2 linked regions of the Coturnix japonica genome follow. The protein of the gene in region 2 binds, or shares a complex with, the protein of the main gene of each other region. Links are inferred from orthologs where the notes say so. Each region holds a gene or a part of one and is shown on either strand. Other genes may lie near its edges.

Region 1 (3,207 bases), on a different chromosome or scaffold from region 2:
TCTTAGGGGGCAGAGGTGGTGGCAGATCAGTGGTTTGGCCTAGATGTGTTCGCTACAGGAATGTGGTGGAGCTTTTAAACGGGTGTCTAGCAGAGGTGCTCTTTAAAATTCAGCTTCAATGTAAGTCATATGGGTTGTCTTGTAGTGCATCACCAAATCAACATTATTGTAATGAGCTCACAAAGCTGCTGTGCAAGCATGAAGACGTACTACATGCTAGATATGCTACGACAGCATGCAAATACCATGGATGCACATCTTCCTGGAGTATTGTTAATAGCTGTCACTTTATTTGAGGAAGATCTACTTTATTTCTGTGTTCACTCAGTGAGCTTATTTAAAGTAACGCTGTACTGACAATAAACAGTGGCTCAACGTTCATTATGATGGATTTAACTGGCTGTAGAATTAACATTTTGTATTATGACTAAGTCGTGTACATTTTGGTACAGAACTTCTTTTTCAGTTTGAGTAAAATAATCCTAGATTTACTGGCTTAATTGTGATACTTTCAGATTACCTCATGATGCAGTGAAATAACCTAGCAAACAAAAGGTTAAGGAAAACTGTCCAGCATACAGTGCAGTATTAAAGACTGAAGTGGGTCTGTGATACCAGCACTTCTCACCTGGTATTGCAGAAGCCGTTACATTAAAAAAATCCCTTTACAAGTACATCAAAGTAAGAGGAGAACCAAGGAAAATGCCCAACCTTTACTTGATGCAGCGGGGAACGTGATCACTGAGGAGAAGGCTGGGATTCTCTGAGGAGGAGAAGGCTGAGTTCCTCGATGCCTTCTTTACATCTGCCTTTAAGGGGCAGTGCTGTGTGCTTGGGGATGAATAACTGGATGTCTGTGAGGAGGAAAGGGAGCTGGTCGATGTTCGGCTGCTCCTCACCGCCAGGCCGCACTGTGGCGCCCGCCTCCTCCTTCAGGCCTTGCCTTTCTTCCCGCCGCCATCTTTACCACAGCCGCCAAGATGGAGGCGCCTCCCGTCACCATGATGCCCGTTACGGGCGGCACTATTAACATGATGGAGTACCTGCTGCAAGGTATGGCCGGCACACAGGGGCTGTACACGGGGCTCGGCCGCAGCGTGGGGCCGAGGCGGGCGGCGAAGGGGAGGTACCTCCCCGCGGAGGCCCCTTCGCCGCCTGCCTCGGCCCCGCGCTGCGGCGGGGAAGGGGCCATCGTCTGAGCCGTGTGTGTCCACCACAGGGAGCGTCCTGGACCAGAGCCTGGAGAGCCTGCTGCACCGCCTGCGTGGGCTGTGCGACAACATGGAGCCGGAGACCTTCCTGGACCACGAGATGGTGTTCCTGCTCAAGGGGCAGCAGGCCAGCCCCTTCGTGCTGCGTGCCCGGCGATCCATGGATAAAAGCGGCATGCCATGGCACCTGAGGTACCTGGGGCAGCCGGAGATCGGAGATAAAAACCGACACGCTTTAGTGCGAAATTGTGTGGACATCGCCACCTCGGACAACCTGACGGATTTCCTGGTGGAGATGGGGTTCCGTATGGATCACGAGTTCGTGGCTAAGGGACACGTGTTCCGAAAGGGGATCATGAAGATTGTGGTGTATAAGATCTTCCGTATCTTGATGCCTGGTAACACGGACAGCATCGAGCCGCTTTCCCTCTCCTACCTTGTAGAGCTTAATGTTGTGGCACCAGCCGGACAGGATATGGTTTCTGATGATATGAGGAACTTTGCAGAGCAGCTGAAGCCTTTAGTACACCTGGAAAAAATTGACCCTAAGAGGTTAATGTGATGAAAACTGGCTTGACTATCATAGCATTGCTGTAGCCAGAAGTGAGTGCAGGGACTGGTTGGAGTCCTATGCACACAGAACTTTTGTTCAGGGCTCCACTGCTTCCTCTCTGTGCTGGAGCAGTAAGCAGTATTAAGGTGCAACACTTATAAATAGAGATATTGACTTTATGTTGTTGGGGAGCAAGGGGTAAAAGGCTTTGATGTATTGGTTTTGTTTTTGTTTGATGCTCAGCCAGCATTTGGTATTTGGTTATGCAGGTTACATATATGCATAAGAGCAGAATGTATGTAATTCCCAGAGATGGAAGAGAATAAAAGTCTGTTTAGTGCATTATTCATTGGATAGTCGGTCCCTGATGTCTGAAAGGAGTAGTTGCAGGAATTGCTTAGTTTTAGATTTGAAAGACCTGAAAGATTCCCTCCTAGCAAATCCAGACTGGGAGCTGTTTGTTATTGGAAGCAGCTTTGTTGTTAGTGTAGAACAGGAAGCTCTGGGTCTGCAATTATAACCTGGGGGGAAGAAACAGAATTAAGACCCTTCACAGCCAATATGTTGGCTCAGAAAGTTGAGCCCAGTGCCCCCGAATGTGCCTGTAGAGAGTCAGGTGGATGGGGCCAGGCTTTGACTGTTGTTGCCCAGTGTTGGGACACAGGAAGGTCCATCTCAAAGTGAGGAATTACTGCTTCATTTGGGGGTGACGTGGAGCAGGCTGCACAGAGAGGCTCCTTCCTGCTTACAGCCACTTCCATCAGCCCAGCACGATGCATTAGTTTCACAAAAGCAAGGTCAGGCATCCCACTATTTCTGTGTTTTTGTGCTCTTTGTATGTTTTATTAAAAATATATCTTCAAAAATACCCGTCAGCTATTTGCATTAATTTTGTATTTTCTTTGCAATTCTTTTTCACTCAATACAAGCCAGTATTTTGGGCAAACATGAAGTAGTCTTCATTTCTCAAGATCATTATGGAAACGTACAACCACGCTGCCTTTTACTAAAACACACCAATTGCTGTCAGTCGCTGTCATGCTTTAACAGCACGAATGTTGCTGTATCTCCAGCACTCCTCAGCCCTGGGTCTCCATTCTCCCCACACACTCTCCCCTAATGTTGTTATTTCTGTACAAATGAACACAGAAGCTGAAGTACAACTTTGGAAGCACTCTATATTGTCTAACATGCTTCTGATATGCGAGTGCAGGGTGAGACGTTTCACACATCAACAGCTTATGTGGATATTCCAGCTTTCACTTCAGCAACCTCGGTAACACAGTCAAGCTGCTTTCTGCTAAGTGCTTTACATACACTGTAGTGTATGTGTATGAAGCGGCATACAGCTTCAGACACAACCCAAGGGCTGGGTACGGCAGAAGATACTGAAATAAGTCTCCTTAAACACTAGAAAGAACAACAAAACAGGGTTTTTTTTTT
Region 2 (3,751 bases):
CCCTGAGCCCCGACCCGGCCGACATTCGACATGGGGGACACGCGCTGAGGGGGGGCAGCCGGATGATGAACACGATGCCGCGGCCGGGCAGCCGCCGACAGAGGCACCGCTGAGGGACAGCGAGGAGGAGGAGCAGAGCCGGGGGCTCCGGGGCAGCCCAGCAGCAGCGATAATCAATCAGCGATCAATCAATCAATCAGCGATCGATCAGCGGCCGACTCGTCCTTCAGTCGGGGTTGGGGGGTGGGGGGGCTCCGAGCCCGTTCCCTTCGTGCTGAGGAGCACAGCCCGGGGCTCGGCCGCCGCCTCCCCGCCCTCCTGACGAGAGACTTCATCCACAGGAGGAGGAGGAGGAGGGGGCTCCTCCGCCCACCGCCCCCGCGCAGCGCCCGGAGCCCCCCGAGCCCCCCGCACCTGAGGAGAGCGGCGGCAAGAGCCCCCCCCTTATTCCTCCACACACATCCCCCCCCATCGCAGAAGAAACCAACCGGCTGAAGATCATCATTTGATATTTTTATTCTCCCCCTCCCTCCCTCTCCCCCCGCTTTTTTTTTTTTCCTTTTTTTTTTCTCTTATTTAACCATTATTTTTTAAGGGACCAGTCCCTCCTCGCCTTCCACCTCGGGAAGGAATTGGGGGGGGTGAAGGGTTGAGGCTTGTGAGGGTTTCGTTGCGGCCCAGAGGCCCCTCGCTGCCCGCCGTGACCCGGCGCCGGGTTGGGGGGGGGTTGGCCGCCCCCTGAAGACTCAGCGATTCCCCCCGACGGCTCCATTGGGACGCTCCGTCCGCGCCCGACGAGACTCCGAGGGCCGCCCGCAGTTCCAGCCCCCTCCCCCTCCTTCCCCCCACGGACGGATTCTCACCCTCTCCACGATCAGCGCTGATTTCGGGGACGGGGCCGTTTCCCCCCATCCCCCCGAGGAGACTTTTGCGGCCTTTCCCTCTCCAGGATCCCCCCCTTCCCTTCCTTTTCCTTTCCCCCCCCCCATCAGCTCCCGCAGATGGTTTTTGGGGTCTCCCCCCCCCAGGACGATCTCCTCTCTTCGGCCTTCTCCAACCCTTCCGGCTCTCCTCACCGCCGGCCCCTCGCGTTTGTTTTGATGATTTTACATTTTTAATTTATTGGCAATTTTTTATTATTATTATTATTTTTTTTTTGGAGGGGGGGAAAACGAAGAACCCCCCCAAGCCCCCCTCCTTTCCCCCCCCCCCTTTACGCACATATACCCTGTTGCCCTCGGACTGCGAAGCCACGAGCCCAGGATCGGGCCCTACCCGAGCGCTGCGCTGTTGCCCCTTTTCTCCCCGAAGGAAGAGGAGGATTCATTACCCCGTTGGATTATTTATTTCCCCGCGATCAGAGGAAGGAGAGATGCCGGCCGGGTTCTCCCATTAACCCCCCCCCAGGATTCGTTACCCCATTTTCTCCTGTTGGATACATCACCCCTCCAGAAGAGGAGCGGGGATTGATCCCAATCTGCGCTGCGTTACCCACCGCCTCCCTCTGTCCTCCCCTTTGCCTCCCCTTATCCTCCACCCCCTCCTTCTTATTTCATATCCAGACGAGAAAACGCTCTGAGTTTCTCTTTAAAAAATAATAACAATAATTTTTAACCCCCTCCCCCCCCCATTCCTCTCTCTTACACCCTCCCGGGTTATTTATCCTACCACTATTCCGTGTGTGTATGTGTGTACGTAAAGCCCTTATTTAACTGCATTATTATTTGTGCGTGTGCCTCGCCCCCTCCCCCGTCCCCTCGCAGTGTCTGTCTCCCTCTCCCTCTCTCTCTGTCTGTCTCTTTCTTTCTTGTCGGAGGCTGTGGGATAATGGCGTGTGGGTTGTGGCTGTGAGGATGAGTTCCTGCTTCGTGCCGAACGGGGCCAGCCTGGAGGATTGCCATTCCAACCTCTTCTGCCTGGTGAGCGCCCGAGGCCGCGCACACGCGCGACGTGAGCGGAGTGGGAACGGGAGGCGGCCGGGGGAGGGGAGGAGGAGGCCGGGCAGTGGCAGCAAAGCAGCCATTTTTAGCAGAGCTTCTGCTGGAGGAGCCCTCGGAGCAGGCCCAGCCGGGCGGCAGCCCAGCTCTCTCCGTGCCCCCCCGCCGCCTCGCCTCGCCCCTCCCTCCGCTTTCAGCCCGGGCTTCGCGGCTCCGGCCCTGCCCTCAACTTTTTGGGCTTTCTTTTACCTCTTTACTGAAGGGAGCTGTGCCTTCTCCCCTCGGCCAACTTTCTCCTTTCCCTTCCCGCTGCACGCATCCCACGGCCCAAACCCTTCTCCCTGCCTTTAAGCCACCCCCCGCCGCCTTTACCCCGAGACCCCCAAGCACTCTGCAAAAGCCTTCTATGCGTTGTGCACCATTTTGTGCTCTTTATTTTTCCTTCCCCCCTCATTCAACCTCAGTACGAAATTGTTGGGATTTTTTTCCTTTTGGTAGCGCAGATTGGATTTCATTGGGCTGTGATGCAATTTGGGTGCTGCACTCACCTCCTTCATCGGCTTAATGCAAATCGGCCGATATCAGATGGCTGCCCGATGTATTTTATCATCATTGTTATTGAAATCATTATAAGTAAAAGCATCCACCGAACCAACAAAACCTATGCCAGGCTGTGGGAGCTGCTGGATGGGGGAACCCCTTTGGGGCCTGCAACCCATTCTGCTGCCACCTTTGTAAATCCAGGCTGTCTGAATGTCAACTGTTGCAGCCCCCGTAGCTTCCATCTAAATTGTTTCTCCTCCTCAAGGTAGAAGGCTGCCATGTTAGGTTTAAATGTTGCAGTGATCTTAGGTGGAAATCAGTAACTTGTTGGCAAGTAGCACCTCGCCTCCGTGCTGCCTTCTTGATGGGAACTAAGGGGCATTGCAGCCCCAAAGGGCCTTAAGGCTGAAGTGCTTGAGGGGGAGAAGCTCAGTGTTAGAACTTAGTGTGGTGCTGGGTTGGGGATAATCCAGGAATTGTCGCTTTCCCTCTAGGTATGGTGGTAGCTCTTCGCTCTATAAAGTCGGATGAAGCTTTGCCCAGAAGGGGATTTAGTGGATCATAACCAATGATGTGTAATTTAATGAGAGAAACAGGATTTAAATTCTTAAAACGTGGGGTGGGAAATGAAAAGCGTGATGGCTCAGAGTGAAATAAGTGAGCTTGAGGAGCTTCCTGCACACGATAGGGAATTTTACAATAGGGAAGCAGTGAAATCTTCTGAAGTAGCAGAGGAGTGGCAGAACGTGTGGCTGAGCTGGGTTTTTTTTCCCTATTTCCTGTATCCTCAGAGTAATCTTGGATTTCAAAAGGCAGCGTAAGCAGAAGTGAGCATGAAGTGAGTGGTTATTTGCTAAGGCGAGCGCTTCTAAGATTGGACATTTGGAGCCTGCAAAGAATTAGCTAATTGTTGCTCGTTTTTCATTTTTTGTTTTAAATCAAATGGGGTGTTTTTTTTCTCTGTCGCTTTAAAGCTGCAGTGAAAACGCTCAGCTCTCACTTTACTGCAGCTATTAGGAGATTTAGAAACCAGGTGCCTGGTTATTTCCAATTTACCTTCTCAGGTGCGCAGAGCTTAGAAGCGTGGTTCCTGTTACAGCTGGCTGTTTCTATTGGGAACATACCCCGATGTCTGATGGTTTCTTTTTTTCCTTCCCTTAGGCTGATCTAACTGGGATTAAATGGAAGCGATACGTATGGCAGGGTCCAACGTCTGCCCCCATTCTCTTTCCGGTGACGGAAGAGGACCCTATTTTGAGCAGCTTCAGTCG

Evidence for each region. The genes of interacting proteins can lie anywhere in the genome.
Region 1: MED13 (region 2) and MED18 share a complex: the UniProt entries of both Homo sapiens proteins name them as parts of the mediator complex. The link is inferred for Coturnix japonica from reciprocal best matches to the Homo sapiens genes MED13 and MED18.

Annotation. Positions count from the first base shown.
Region 1 is NC_029547.1:21,930,388-21,933,594, reverse strand, and holds MED18 (mediator of RNA polymerase II transcription subunit 18), read left to right. Parts: upstream 1-867; 5' UTR 868-980; coding exon 981-1,053; intron 1,054-1,219; coding exon 1,220-1,773; 3' UTR 1,774-2,632; downstream 2,633-3,207. UniProt on the Homo sapiens protein: Component of the Mediator complex, a coactivator involved in the regulated transcription of nearly all RNA polymerase II-dependent genes.
Region 2 is NC_029534.1:6,168,892-6,172,642, forward strand, and holds the start of MED13 (mediator of RNA polymerase II transcription subunit 13), read left to right. Parts: upstream 1-1,243; 5' UTR 1,244-1,853; coding exon 1,854-1,919; intron 1,920-3,641; coding exon 3,642-3,751. UniProt on the Homo sapiens protein: Component of the Mediator complex, a coactivator involved in the regulated transcription of nearly all RNA polymerase II-dependent genes.